2 linked regions of the Stegostoma tigrinum genome follow. The protein of the gene in region 2 purifies or fractionates together with the protein of the main gene of each other region. This does not show direct contact. Links are inferred from orthologs where the notes say so. Each region holds a gene or a part of one and is shown on either strand. Other genes may lie near its edges.

What was found.
Region 1: the proteins of cfap20 (region 2) and clasrp purify together in Homo sapiens (affinity purification with mass spectrometry; 3 studies listed by BioGRID and IntAct, counting the BioPlex papers as one, with this or other methods). This does not show direct contact. The link is inferred for Stegostoma tigrinum from reciprocal best matches to the Homo sapiens genes CFAP20 and CLASRP.

What each region holds. Positions count from the first base shown.
Region 1 is NC_081392.1:14,388,394-14,396,642, reverse strand, and holds the start of clasrp (CLK4-associating serine/arginine rich protein), read right to left. Parts: upstream 3,096-8,249; 5' UTR 2,974-3,095; intron 1-2,973. UniProt on the Homo sapiens protein: Probably functions as an alternative splicing regulator. May regulate the mRNA splicing of genes such as CLK1. May act by regulating members of the CLK kinase family.
Region 2 is NC_081355.1:158,596,732-158,604,165, forward strand, and holds the start of cfap20 (cilia- and flagella-associated protein 20), read right to left. Parts: upstream 3,317-7,434; 5' UTR 2,990-3,316; coding exon 2,906-2,989; intron 1,388-2,905; exon of another isoform or gene 1,317-1,387; coding exon of another isoform or gene 1,302-1,316; intron 1-1,301. UniProt on the Homo sapiens protein: Cilium- and flagellum-specific protein that plays a role in axonemal structure organization and motility. Microtubule inner protein (MIP) part of the dynein-decorated doublet microtubules (DMTs) in cilia axoneme, which is required for motile cilia beating.

The sequences.
Region 1 (8,249 bases), on a different chromosome or scaffold from region 2:
TCTCCACCCACTCTTCCTACCCTCAACTACATTCCTCCTGACCCCCTCCCCCTACCTCTTGCCCCCCTCATCTCATCCCAACCCTCTCACTTTCAACACTCCTTCCGTAACCCCTCACCCCTCCCGTTCACCTTCAACTCACTTCAACATTCGCCTTGATCTCCTCCCTCATCTTTCCCTCCCCTACTCTTTCCACACATCACTCATAACACCTCTCCACTTACCCATCACTACCCAGCAACCTCATACCCTCCACCTCCTCATTCATCTTCAACTTGTTACCCCCCACATATCTCATCCTCCATCCTTTCCCATTCTGACCTTCATCTGCACCCGTTGCTCCCTCATATACTCCCTCCTCCCAACTTAAGCACCACATCCAAATTTAGGCTCAACCCTCCCAATTTATACACTCCTTCCCCTGACCCACCCAATTTACACCCCTAATCACCCCCAACCCTCCTTCCCCTCCTAATTCATACCCCCGGCCCCCGCTTCCCGCCTCAGTGCATACCCCAGACCCCCGCTCCCCCCCTCCTCAGTGCGTACCCCCGACCCCCGCTCCCTCACTCAGTGCGTACCACCGACCCCCAACCCCCGCTCCCCCCCTCAGTGCGTACCCGAGCCCAACTCCCCCCTCAGTGCGTACCCCCGACCCCCGCTCCCTCACTCAGTGCATACCACCGACGCCTGCTCCCCCCCTCAGTGCGTACCCGAGCCCAACTCCCCGCTCAGTGCGTACCCCCGCTCCCCCCTCAGTGCGTACCCCCGACCCCCCCTCCCCCCTCAGTGCGTACCCCCGCTCCCCCCAACTCAGTGCGTTCCCCCGCTCCCCCCCCTCCCCCCTCAGTGCGTACCCCCGCTCCCCCCCTCCCCCCTCAGTGCGTACCCCCGCTCCCCCCCCTCCCCCCTCAGTGCGTACCCCCGCTCCCCCCCCCCTCAGTGCGTACCCCCGCTCCCCCCCCTCCCCCCTCAGTGCGTACCCCCGCTCCCCCCCTCCCGCCTCAGTGCGTACCCCCGCTCCCCCCCCCCTCAGTGCGTACCCCCGCTCCCCCCTCCCCCCTCAGTGCGTACCCCCGCTCCCCCCCTCAGTGCGTACCCCCGCTCCCCCCTCAGTGCGTACCCCCGCTCCCCCCCCTCCCCCCTCAGTGCGTACCCCCGCTCCCCCCCTCCCCCCTCAGTGCGTACCCCCGCTCCCCCCTCAGTGCGTACCCCCGACCCCCGCTCCCCCCTCAGTGCGTACCCCCGACCCCCGACTCAGTGCGTACCCCCGACCCCCGCTCCCCCCTCAGTGCGTACCCCCGACCCCCGACTCAGTGCGTACCCCCGACCCCCGCTCCCCCCTCAGTGCGTACACCCGACCCCCGACTCAGTGCGTACCCCCGCTCCCCCCCTCCCCCTTCAGTGCGTACCCCCGCTCCCCCCTCCCCCCTCAGTGCGTACCCCCGCTCCCCCCCTCCCCCCTCAGTGCGTACCCCCGCTCCCCCCCTCCCCCCTCAGTGCGTACCCCCGCTCCCCCCTCAGTGCGTACCCCCGCTCCCCCCTCAGTGCGTACCCCCGCTCCCCCCCTCAGTGCGTACCCCCGCTCCCCCGCTCCCCCCTCAGTGCGTACCCCCGTTCCCCCCCTCCCCCTCAGTGCGTACCCCCGCTCCCCCCTCAGTGCGTACCCCCGCTCCCCCCCTCAGTGCGTACCCCCGCTCCCCCCCTCAGTGCGTACCCCCGCTCCCCCCCCTCCCCCTCAGTGCGTACCCCCGCTCCCCCCCTCCCCCCTCAGTGCGTACCCCCGCTCCCCCCCTCAGTGCGTACCCCCGACCCCCGCTCCCCCCTCAGTGCGTACCCCCGACCCCCGACTCAGTGCGTACCCCCGCTCCCCCCTCAGTGCGTACCCCCGCTCCCCCCCTCCCCCTTCAGTGCGTACCCCCGCTCCCCCCTCCCCCCTCAGTGCGTACCCCCGCTCCCCCCCTCCCCCCTCAGTGCGTACCCCCGCTCCCCCCTCAGTGCGTACCCCCGCTCCCCCCTCAGTGCGTACCCCCGCTCCCCCCCTCAGTGCGTACCCCCGCTCCCCCCTCAGTGCGTACCCCCGCTCCCCCCCTCAGTGCGTACCCCCGCTCCCCCCTCAGTGCGTACCCCCGTTCCCCCCCTCCCCCTCAGTGCGTACCCCCGCTCCCCCCTCAGTGCGTACCCCCGCTCCCCCCCTCAGTGCGTACCCCCGCTCCCCCCCTCAGTGCGTACCCCCGCTCCCCCCCCTCCCCCTCAGTGCGTACCCCCGCTCCCCCCCTCCCCCCTCAGTGCGTACCCCCGCTCCCCCCCTCAGTGCGTACCCCCGACCCCCGCTCCCCCCTCAGTGCGTACCCCCGACCCCCGACTCAGTGCGTACCCCCGCTCCCCCCTCAGTGCGTACCCCCGCTCCCCCCCTCCCCCCTCAGTGCGTACCCCCGCTCCCCCCTCAGTGCGTACCCCCGCTCCCCCCTCCCCCCTCAGTGCGTACCCCCGCTCCCCCCCTCCCCCCTCAGTGCGTACCCCCGCTCCCCCCCTCCCCCCTCAGTGTGTACCCCCGCTCCCCCCTCCCCCCTCAGTGCGTACCCCCGCTCCCCCCTCAGTGCGTACCCCCGCTCCCCCCTCAGTGCGTACCCCCGCTCCCCCCCTCCCCCCTCAGTGCGTACCCCCGCTCCCCCCCTCCCCCCTCAGTGCGTACCCCCGCTCCCCCCCTCCCCCCTCAGTGCGTACCCCCGACCCCCGCTCCCCCAATGCATACTCCTAACACCCGCCTTCCCCATTTACAGCCCTAGCCCCGTCACACCCTCCCAGTTTACTCCCCTAAACTCTGTTCGCCCCCTTAATTTACACCCCCATCCTATTCTTTTCTCACCCCGCCTTCAGCAGCGCCCCTCCCCCGTACACTTTTCTCCGACACAACCGATCCTTTCGCAATTCCCCGGCAGCCTCAGACCTTACTTTCCGAGTTCCTCTCACCTTTGTAAGTGAGGTGTCTTTCCTTCCAGTTTCCCTTTCTGACCCCCTCCACCACACCCAGCGTTTACCTGGTGTAAAGCTCTACCCACTCTCCGCCATCTTTTCCCTCTCCGCCCCCCACCTTGTGCCTGACCGCGCACACAACTTCTGCCCCGCACTGTCCGCTACCATGTGCTCCCTCCCGGCCACTTCCGCCCCGCTCCAGGTACTCCAGGAAAAGACCTTCTCCGGCAGTTCAGCTCCACTATCAGTTCCGCGGAATGTCTATTACATACATTTGGAGCTGTTTTCAATCATTTATTTTGTTTCGGTTTCAGTCGTACCAGCATCACAAACTAATATCCACATTATTTTTTATTAATTCACAGGAACGGAGGGAAACAGAGATAAAGTATAAATTGCGATATTGATATCCCAGAAAATAACTTACACTAAGATTTTCTTCTTTTAATTCATTAATGTAATGTGGGCATTGCCGGTTGTCTCATTATTTATTGTCCATTCTAGCTGCCCCTTGAGAAGATCGCAGTGCAATTCGTGTTGTGTAGGTAACCTCAATGTTATTGGGGAGGAAATTCAAAGACTTTGATCCAGCAACACCAAAGGAATGCTGACATATTTCCAAGTATGTGGTTTGGAGGGGAACCTGCAGGGCAGTAATGTTTCCATATTTCTACTGCCCCTTGTCTTTCTAAATGGTAGAGATCACGGATTTGGAAGGTGCTGTTGTGCATCTTGTCGACGGTACACTGCTGCTACTGAGCTTCAGTGTTGGATGGAGTGGATGTTGAAGGTGTGATGTGGTGGGTGCTGGCCTGGGACTGCTTTGATCTGAATTTTGTTGCGCTGCTTGAGTTTTCTTGCCACATATCTAGACGAGGGGGTGCTGCTTGCTAAACCAGGCCTGAGCTGCTAGGATGATCATCCTGATGAAGACAAGTGGAACCAATGTAAAGATGGGTAGTGGTGGACTTAAAATGATGGGCTTGATGCCACATTACTTCATGATAGAATTCCTACAGTGTTGAAGCAGCCATTTGGCACATCAAGTCCTCACTGACACCCTGAGGAGCATCCCACTCCCCTTCCCTATAACTGTGCATTACCCAGGGCTAATCCACCTGGCCTGCACATCTCTGGACACTATCAGTAATTTCCCAACCTAACCCACACATCTTTGGATTATGGGAGGAAACCGCAGCACCCGGAGGAAACCCATGTAGATACGGGAAGAATGTGCAAACTCCAAACAGACAGTTGCCTGAGGGTCGAATTGAATCTGTGACCCGAGTGCTGTGAGGCAGCAGGTTAACCACTGAGCCACTGTCCTCAATACTAGATCATATGAAGTTCTAACTAAGTCAAAACTGGAATACTATCAGAGATAATGGGAACTGCAGATGCTGGAGAATTCCAAGATAATAAAATGTGAGGCTGGGTGAACACAGCAGGCCAAGCAGCATCTCAGGAGCACAAAAGCTGACGTTTCGGGCCTAGACCCTTCATCAGAGAGGGGGATGGGGAGAGGGAACTGGAATAAGTAGGGAGAGAGGGGGAGGCGGACCGAAGATGGAGAGTAAAGAAGATAGGTGGAGAGAGTGTAGGTGGGGAGGTAGGGAGGGGATAGGTCAGTCCAGGGAAGACGGACAGGTCAAGGAGGTGGGATGAGGTTAGTAGGTAGCTGGGGGTGCGGCTTGGGGTGGGAGGAAGGGATGGGTGAGAGGAAGAACCAGTTAGGGAGGCAGAGACAGGTTGGACTGGTTTTGGGATGCAGTGGGTGGGGGGGGAAGAGCTGGGCTGGTTGTGTGGTGCAGTGGGGGGAGGGGACGAACTGGGCTGGTTTTGGGATGCGGTGGGGGAAGGGGAGATTTTGAAACTGGTGAAGTCCACATTGATACCATATGGCTGCAGGGTTCCCAGGCGGAATATGAGTTGCTGTTCCTGCAACCTTTGGGTGGCATCATTGTGGCAGTGCAGGAGGCCCATTTTGGACATGTCATCTAGAGAATGGGAGGGGGAGTGGAAATGGTTTGCGACTGGGAGGTGCAGTTGTTTGTTGCGAACTGAGCGGAGGTGTTCTGCAAAGCGGTCCCCAAGCCTCGACATTGGGGAAACCAAGCGGAGGCTTGGGGACCGCTTTGCAGAACACCTCCGCTCAGTTTGCAACAAACAACTGCACCTCTCAGTCGCAAACCATTTCCACTCCCCCTCCCATTCTGTAGATGACATGTCCATCATGGGCCTCCTGCACTGCCACAATGATGCCACCCGAAGGTTGCAGGAACAGCAACTCATATTCCACCTGGGAACCCTGCAGCCATATGGTATCAATGTGGACTTCACCAGTTTCAAAATCTCCCCTTCCCCTACTGCATCCCTAAACCAGCCCAGTTCGTCCCCTCCCCCCACTGCACCACACAACCAGCCCAGCTCTTCCCCCCCAACCCACTGCATCCCAAAACCAGTCCAACCTGTCTCTGCCTCCCTAACCGGTTCTTCCTCTCACCCATCCCTTCCTCCCACCCCAAGCCGCACCCCCAGCTACCTACTAACCTCATCCCACCTCCTTGACCTGTCCGTCTTCCCTGGACTGACCTATCCCCTCCCTACCTTCCCACCTACACTCTCTCTACCTATCTTCTTTACTCTCCATCTTCGGTCCGCCTCCCCCTCTCCCTATTTATTCCAGTTCCCTCTCCCCATCCCCCTCTCTGATGAAGGGTCTAGGCCCGAAACGTCAGCTTTTGTGCTCCTGAGATGCTGCTTGGCCTGCTGTGTTCATCCAGCCTCACATTTTATTATCTCAAAACTGGAATACTATTTTGCAAGCTTTCCTTAACCGTGATTTCCCTCATATTCTCAAATCCTTTCTCCAATATCAGTGCTTAAATATTGAATCCATTACATTTATATAAGAATATAGGAACAGGAGGAGGCCATTTCGCCCCTTAGGCCTGATCTGCCATTCATTGGGATCACAGTTGATCCACGGCCTAATTGCATGCACCTGCCTTTGGCCCATATTTCTTAATTTGTTTGTTAAGCAAAGGTATGATCTGTCTCAGATTTAAATTTAACACTTTCTTTTTCCTCTTCTGTCACACATTCTATAGATATTTGATTAGGTTTCATTCTTACAGTCCTAAATTTGAATTAATAAGCTTCAGGGACAAGCTAGTGTTGCTATTTAACATCAATCTGCAGACTGCTCTTCTAGCAAACAGATGTGTAGTTCATAGCTGTACCTATTAGAGCATAGAGAACCTAGCATCTTCTAGCCACTTTGATTTCATAACTATCTTTTCAAATGAGAAGAACCAAAGACAGTTGTTTTTCTCCACTGTACCTTGGCAGCAGCTGCTCCAAGTTTATTTTATTTTTAAGATGGCAACAGCAGCACAGGCAATGTCTGGGCTCAACCAGGGGCTCGTCCTCTCCGTCCACTCCTCTTTTTAAAACACATTTTTTTGGTTATTTTTAACCTACCTTGTCTCACGAAGCCCGCGGTGGTGCTGCTGCAGCTGAGGGCCTGGTGTGAAGCAGGGTAGCCAGCAGTTGACAGGCTGGGGTAGGGCAGAAAGGCCAATGATTGACGGGCCAGAGAGAAGCTGCCAGCAGGCTGGGAACCCAGAGGGGTTGGCTGGCAGACTGGGGCCCAGTGCAGTCAACCTGTCACAGACCTCAATTTTGGTAGTGCAGGGAGCGTGAGACCACATGTGGAAAGCCCACAATGTGGAGAGACTGTAGGCTACAGAAGGACTGTAACATTTAACTTTATTTCTTTACATTCCTAATTTATTACTATGAAAAACTGTAATGTACAACTTTTAGCTTTCATCTGTATTTCTCTATTTTTGTACCTAGGTACATTGCACCTAAAATGGCACCTTGTGTGATGAGATTGTACACTTCTCATTGTACTCCTGCACTTTGTACTTAAGTACATGTGACAATAAATCTAATTCTAATTCTTAATCCTCGGTATGTAGTCCTGAACCTTGGAATGTGCCTGTCTGCAACACTTGGTTGAAGTCAACTCTTTGCATTAGAAGACCAAGTTTTGGGGTAGAGCAATGAGCATGTTTCACTGAGTTCATGGTTCTCCAGTTGCAGTTGATTCTTGGTGTGCATCTCAGGGAACAGCCTGTACGGCACAGAGTCCAGCCTCTAAATGATATATTCAATACCTGCCTTTATATGGCTGGTTGGGTCTTCCCTTACATCTGAACCCCTTCTCCTCTCTTTTCAAGCAAAACATTTGTGTGAAGGTTTTCACTCTGTGTAACAGTCTATTGCTTGTAAACAAAGAATTCCTGCGTGAAAACCATTTAATTGGAAACTTTTAACTTGGAATCTAACTAATTTTAATTTTCAATGATCAATGAACAATTAGTGTGAAAAAAGTAACAGGTTAGAAACACTTGGTGTTCAACTGAACATTCTCAACCAATCTGAACAATGCATGCATTACAACAGCATATCCCTTGGGTCTCATTAACAGTATATCAAAGAATCACACACTCTGGTTAAACTGTGCGATTAAAAAATAAACCACAAATCTCATGGTGGTTTCAGTCTCAGAACCGCCTAACTTTCCTTTTTTGATGACTCCTTTAAAGGTCTGCAGGGAATCTGAGATCCAGAGATGGGTCTGCAGAATGGTTTTTCCTAGTCTTGGACTAGTCTATATACACCATGAGTAATGGCTCTATTTTGGTGTTCAACTATAAACGGTGCTCCTTTCCAGTCAGGCTTCTCGAGATTTTACGTTGGCACTGAAAGGAAAGTTTCAGACAGCCTTGCCTTTCAATGAACCCAGAAATGCAGTTGTTTGGTAAATTGGACATTATGGTGATGGTGTGGAGGATTAGCCCCAGTATGCCAAGAGATTTAGATAGTTTTTTCAAGCAAACGGGATACGACGGGATCATTGACAAAACGTCATTCCCCTGGCTACTTACTTTCAGCATCGTAAAGAGTTTAGTCTTACCAGCAACCATGCAGTCAAATCCTTTGGTGAACTAAAAACAAAAACTGCTGGAGAAACTCAGTATTTGTGGATGCCTGTGGGAAGAAATCAGAGTCAACGTTTTGAGTCTGCTGACTTCATCAGAATACTCACCAGATGAAGAGTTACCAGAATCGAAAAGCCAACTATGCTTATTTTGCACAGATGCTCCCAGACCTGGTGAGCTTCTCCAGTTCCACCACCCCCCCCCCCCGACCTTCAGCATCCACAGTTCCTTGTTTTGTTTCCTTTGATGAATTGATAAGTA
Region 2 (7,434 bases):
GCTTCCAGCATCTGTAGTCCTTACTGTCTCCAAGGTCCACAGGGATATGAGCCAAATGCTGGCAAATTGGAGCAGTTCGGTTCAGGAGACCCAGTCAGCATGCACAATTTGGGCCAAAGGTTGTCCAATATTTCCACACTGTATACCTCTATGACCTTATAATCACTTGCAATAGTTTCTCTTCCTGACCTGCCTTATTACCCTGGTTCTGAAGAAGAGTCAATGGACCGGAAATGTTAAATCTGATTTGTCTCCACAAATACCACCAGACCTGCTGAGATTTTCCTGCTATTTCTGTTTTTATCTTGTTACCCCCTAGTATCTTTCCTTGCATGCCCCCCTGCATTTCTCATCTCCATTACATTATATTTTTAAATTAGTTTTATTTCTTGGCTATCACTGAGAAGACAGGAATCTTGTTGCCCAACGCAAGGTGTACAAGGTAATGAGAGGCACGGATAGAGTCGATAGCCAGAGACTTTTCCCCAGGGCAGGATTGACTGACACGAGGGCTCATAGTTTTAAGGTGTTAGGAGGAAGGTATAGAGGAGACGTCAGAGGGAGGTTCTTCACCCAGAGAGTTGAGAGTGCATGGAATAGTTTACCAGTGGTAGTCGTGGAAGCAGAGTCATTAGTGACATTTAAGTGACTGCTGGACATGCACATGGACAGCAGTGAATTGAGGGGAATGTAGGTTAGGTTATTTTATTTTTGGATTAGGATTATTCCACAGCACAACATCGTGGGCTGAAGGGCCTGTACTGTGCTGTACTTTTCTATGTTCTATGCTAGTTGTCCTTGTTGAGTCCTGAAGAAGGGTAATAACCAAAACATCGATTGCTCCTTTATTCCAGATGTTGCCTGGCTTGCTGTGTTCTTCCAGCCTCCTGTTTGTCTACCTCAGATTCCAACATCTGCAGTTCTTCTTTTGTCTTTAACCTTGTTGCCTTTGAACTGATAAGGACTCTAAGCTATTTCCAAAGAGTCACTCACATTGATGAGGGCCTGAAGACACATGTAGGTCAGACCAGGTAAAAGCAGCAGATTTCTATCCCTAAAGGACATTGATGAACCAGATGGGTTTTTACAATATTTGACAAGTGACTTTCAGACTGACTTTTAATTCCAGATCTTTAGTACATTCAAATTTCACAATTTTCCATGAATGGATTCAAACCCAAGACCTCAGAACATCAGCTGAAGGTCCTGGCTTAATATAGAGTTATGGAACACAGAAATAGACCCTTCAGTCCAACCAGCCCAAGCCAAGCATAATTCCAAACTAAATTAGTCCCACCTACCTGGTCCTGGCCCATATCTCTCCAAACCTTTCCTATTCATGTATTTATCCAAATGTCTTTTAAACGTTGTAATTGTACACACATCCACCACTTCCTCAAGGCGTTCACGCGCATCACTTCCTCAAGGTTCCACACGCGAACCACCCTCCGTGTAAGAAATTTGCCTTATGTCTTTTTTTAAAATCTCTCTCCTTTCACCTTAAAAATGTGCCCCCGGTCTTGAAATTCCCCATCTTAGGAAAAAGACAATGACCATCAACTCTTTGTACATCTCTCATTATTTTATAACCTTCTATCAGGTCACCTCTCAACCTCCTACACTCCAGTGAAAAAAATCCCAGCCAATCCAGCTCTTCCTTATAACACAAACCTTCCATACCTAGCAACATCCTGGTAAATCTCTTCTGAGCCCTCTCCAGCTTAATAACATCCCCTTGCCTGAAGCCACAGTATTAGTTCCGCACATATGCTGACAGCACTGATTCTACTGTACCATCAGCTCTCTAAACTCTTCTGCCCAAACTGAATAAGGCAGGTTTCTTCTTGTGGAAAAATCTAGAACAGTTTAAAAATCAGGGCTTGCCTGAAATTGAGACAGAATCAAGTACATTATTTCCCACCTATCCCTCAATCTTTGGCACTCTTCCTGAAAAAGGTGGCGGACACAGAGTTTTTGGACAATTTTTAAGTTAGAGGTAGATAAAGGGTGGTGAAAGGTTATTGAGGGCAACTGGGAATGTGGATTTTGAGATTACTATCAGATCAGATTAATCTGATCGAATAGCAGAGTCAGCTGGTGGGACAAAGAACTGCAGATTCTGCAGACCCACAACAAACAAAAGCAGAAATTGCTGGAGAAACGCAGCAGGTCTTGTGGATACGTGAGGACAAGAAACAGAGCTAATATTTCAAGTCTGGTGACCCTTCTTCAGAACTCGCAGCAGCTCGAAAAAGTGTTGATGACATGGTGGGGGAGGCAAGGAGAGGGCAAACAGGTGGAGGAGGTCAGAGAGAAAAGGACAGAGGAGCAAAGGGATTGTTGATGGCAAGCTAGGGAAAGAAAGAGGGGAGATGGGTGAGAATGGAGACTCTGAGTGGGTTGGCTGAGCTGAAAGCTGCCCATTGTATGGCAGAGATAACAAGGTGTGGAGCTGGATGAACACAGCAGGCCAGGCAGCATCAGAGGAGCAGGGAGGCTGATGTTTCGGGCCTAGACCCTTCATCAGAAGACCTGGGCTGTGGAGTGCATAAGGGACTGGGAAAGAATGAGGGTGTTCACACTCTGACATGGTTAAACTCCAGGTAGAGTCCTGGAGGTTGCGGGAACATGATATCTTGCTCCTCGGGGATTGATGTTTCTGTCGGTTTGTTGTTGCTGGGACATCCATCCACGCCATGATCGTGGAGAGTGGCGGGTTAGGCTCGAAGGGCCCAATGGCCTCGCCCTCCTGCTCCCATCTTCTCTGTTTCCAGCCCCGATTTGAGCAGAAAGGGTCAAGTCTGTGAGGGGGTTGGGGTGGGGGGTTACTGCGCGGCCCGAAGCCTGAGGCCTAGTCTCCGTCACCCGCTCCCGGTAAAGGCATGAGGTTAAGGTCCTTCCTCACCTTCTTGTCCCAGATCTGCAGGGGTTTACTGCCGATACTGTAGAGGATCGAGAGGAATCCGCTCTGGAACGTGTTCTTGAACATCTCTGAGCGCCGCCGGACCCGGGGCCCTAGCAACGTCCGGGTGCAACCCGCCGCCTCCCGACAAAGGTTCCGGGGGGGGGTGTGAGAGGGAAAAGCGGAAAGCTCCGGCCGCGCAGGCGCTGCTACCCCGCCGGCTCCAACCTTTCTCAACAACCAAGGAGGGGGATGGGGAGGGGAAAGAGGGGACTATCCCAGGAACCTCTGATCGGAACCGGGGATCGGTCTGGGTTGCGGGCCCGCTCCTTGTATTTAGCGTAGCGGAGCCGACCGCCGCTGCAGCCCCGGTTACTAAGGCCCGTTGCTATGACAACCCCCCCTCCGTCCCGTTCGGCCTCTTGTTGTCTGTTTGGATTCGCCGTTACTATGGTTTCTGGGCCAGCCGCGATTGGTCGACCGCGGCCTTTCCACACCTATTGGTGCACAGGTCAGCTCGAGCTCCGAGCTGATTGTACAGGCACAGCAAGGACTTATTTGCATGCAGGCCGCCTATTGGTTCCAGCTGCGGGAACTGACCATCCGGGGTGATGACCCACGTGGGACTCCGAGATGGTGATTGGTTCGTCTGCCATGGCGTCGTCCCACCTCCAGTCCCTCGATTTGCATACAATCCGCCAAATGCGCCACGTGGAGCTGGTGCGATGTCCAGGGCGTTTGCAGAGGCAGTGGTCTCGGTGAATCGGATAATCCTCAGCGGGAATGACCATTTGTTTTTACCGTAACATAAAACACTTCTCAGCGATTTAAATAAAAGGAAATAACTGACACAAAAACAGAAATTGCTGTAACAGCACGGTGGCTCAGTGGTTGTTTCACAGCGCCAGGAACCCGGGTTGAATTGCACCCCTGGGTGCTCTGGATTCCTCCTACAGTACAGAGATGTGCAAGTTAGTTGGATTGGCTATGCTAAGTGTCTATGCTGTGTTCATCCAGCTTCACACTTTATTATCTTGTCTATGCTAAACTGCCCATAGTGTTCAGGGGTGTGGTGATTCGGTTGGTGTGGTTCATAGGTCGGTGTGGACTTATTGGGCCGAAGGGCCTGGTTCCACACGAGGGATTCTATGACAACCATAGGGGTCACCTCATCAATGTCAGAAATCACGCTTCACCAGGTTATTGTTCAACAGGATTATTCAGAAACAAGCTTTCAGAGCCTCACTCCTCCTTCAGGTGTTCGTGAGACAGATAGTATAAGACACAGAATTTGGAAGTGAAACATCAAAGAATCCCTCTCTAATACACATGTGAATCTGTGGGGTGAATTTGTATTTGCAGATGCGTTCTATTTTGTCAAAAAGCACACAATTTATAGACAATGTGGCATTTTATAAATTCCTATTTCAGACATAGAGCCAGTTTGACAAGGCCTCACACCTAAAAAAACTGTGGAGTTGGAGAAACACAGCAGGCCAGGCAGCATCAAACAAGCAGAAACACTAAAGCTTCCAGTCAAGACCCTTCTTCAGAAATGGGGGAGAGGGAAGGGAGTTCTGAAATAAATAGAGGAGGGGTTGGGATGGGGAAGGTAGGTGGATGGTGATAGGTGAGTGCAGGCAGGCAGTGGTGGGGATTGATCAGTGAGGTAGACAGAGTGGATCAGTGGGAGAGAAGACAGACAGGTCAAGGAGGCAGGATGACAGGGAGGGTTGATCGTGGGATGAGGCCAGGGGTGGGGAGATTTTGAAATTAGTGAAGTCCACATTGAGACCATTGGATTGTAGGGTCCCCAGGCAGAATATGACGTGCTGCTCCTCCAGTTTCTGGGTGGCGTTGTTGTGACAGTGGAGCAGGTCCAGAATGGACGTCACCCAGGGAGTGGGAGGGGGAGTTGAAGTTGTTTGCGTCTGGAAGGTGTTGTTTGTCGCCTCCTCTGCATTGGTGAGACCAGGTGGAGGCTCAGAGTCTGCACCTGCACTCTGTTCGTGACAAACGACAACACCTTCATCTTACATGAAAAGATAATATATATTTCATATATATTGTATCAGAATAAATTCAAGAATGCCACATTTCAAAAAGTCACAACAACTTATATTACAGGACAATACAGTGCTGATGGTGTTGCCATGGAGAAGGTACTGGAAATACAATGAAGAATTTTGGCAGTCTTGTGTTTGTCCTGCGGTTGCAAGATAAAAATAAGCTCCTTTTTCTGATGTGTGTGTGTGTGTGTGTGTGTGTGTGTGTGTGTGTGTGTGTGTGTGTGTGCGCCTCCTGCACTGCCACAATGATGCCACCCGAAGGTTGCAGGAACAGCAACTCATATTCCGCTTGGGAACCCTGCAGCCCAATGGTATCAATGTGGAGTTCACCAGTTTCAAAATCTCCCCTTCCCCCACCGCATCCCTAAACCAGCCCAGTTCGTCCCCTCCACCCACTGCTGGGCCTGCTGTGTTCATCCAGCTCCACACTTTGTTATCTCAGATTCTCCAGCATCTGCAGTTCCCATTATCCCTGATACAAAAATAATTTTCAACAGCTTGGCTCTCTCTTCAGCAATATTCAAGCAAGATACTTAAACACAAGTTGCCTTTAACAATCAGTACTGGTCTTCGTTCATTAATTCGCACTTGTACAACTTAACTTACCCTGATTTTGGTTTCAAAAAACAAAGTTAAACCAAGTGGCTTGAAGTTTTTTGGCTTATCTTTGTACCCTTCGTCACAATTCTCCTGCACTCTGGTACTGCTCCTGTGTTTGAAGAGGATTAAAAGAATATAGCCAACAAAGCTTACTTCCTGCAACATCCCATCTGATCATCTTGTAGTACCACAAATTGAATTCCTTGTTCTATCATTGTTTTAGCCAATCCACTGGTTCAACTATTATCCAAATGGTGACAGGTAGGAAATAGGGCATCACAGCAAACCTGGGTATCCTTGTCCACCATTCAATAAAAGTAAGCATGCAGGTACAGCAGGCGGTAAATGGTATGTAGGCCTTCACAGAGAAAGGATTCCAGGACAGGAATGACCATGTTTTGCTGCAAATGTACTAGGCTTTGGTGAGACCACACATGGAATACTGTGTGCAGGTTTGGTCTCCTTTGCTCAAGAAGGATGGTTCTGTCTATACAGGGAGTGCAAGGAAGGTTTACTAAATTGATTCCTGGAAATGGTAGGACTGATATATGAAGAGGAACTGGATCGGTTTTGACTACATTCACTAGAAAAGTGAGGGGGAATCTCATAGGAACCTATAAAATTCTAACAGGGTGAACACAGGAAAGATGTTCTCGATGACAGGGAGTCCATACCCAAGGGTCACAATCTAAGGATATGGGGTAGGCCATTTGGGACTGAGCTAAGGAGAAATTTCTTCAAGAGAGTGATGAACCTGTGGAATTCACTACCACAAGAAATGTTTGAAGCCAAAGCATTTAATGTTTTCAAGGAGTCAGATCTATTACCCGGGGCTAAAGGGATCAAAGGTATGGCGAGATAACAGGAACAGGAGGGAGAGATAATAGGAACTGCAGATGCTGGAGAATCCAAGATAATAAAATGTGAGGCTGGATGAACACAGCAGGCCAAGCAGCATCTCAGGAGCACAAAAGCTGACGTTTCGGGCCTAGACCCTTCATCAGAGAGGGGGATGGGGTGAGGGTTCTGGAATAAATAGGGAGAGAGGGGGAGGCGGACCGAAGATGGAGAGAAAAGAAGATAGGTGGAGAGAGTATAGGTGGGGAGGTAGGGAGGGGAAAGGTCAGTCCAGGGAAGACGGAAAGGTCAAGGAGGTGGGATGAGGTTAGTAGGTAGATGGGGGTGCGGCTTGGGGTGGGAGGAAGGGATGGGTGAGAGGAAGAACAGGTTAGGGAGGCGGAGACAGGTTGGACTGGTTTTGGGATGCAGTGGGTGGAGGGGAAGAGCTGGGCTGGTTGTGTGGTGCAGTGGGGGAGGGGACGAATTGGGCTGGTTTAGGGATGCAGTTGGAGAAGGGGAGATTTTGAAACTGGTGAAGTCCACATTGATACCATTAGGCTGCAGGGTTCCCAGGCGGAATATGAGTTGCTGTTCCTGCAACCTTCGGGTGGCATCATTGTGGCACTGCAGGAGGCCCATGATGGACATGTCATCTAAAGAATGGGAGGGGGAGTGGAAATGGTTTGCGACTGGGAGGTGCAGTTGTTTGTTGCGAACTGAGCGGAGGTGTTCTGCAAAGCGGTCTCCAAGCCTCCGCTTGGTTTCCCCAATGTAGAGGAAGCCACACCGGGTACAGTGGATACAGTATACCACATTGGCAGATGTGCAGTTGAACCTCTGCTTAATGTGGAATGTCATCTTGGGGCCTGGGATAGGGGTGAGGGAGGAGGTGTGGGGGCAAGTGTAGCATTTCCTGCGGTTGCAGGGGAAGGTGCCGGGTGTGGTGGGGTTGGAGGGCAGTGTGGAGCGAACAAGGGAGTCACGGAGAGAGTGGTCTCTCCGGAAAGCAGACAGGGGTGGGGA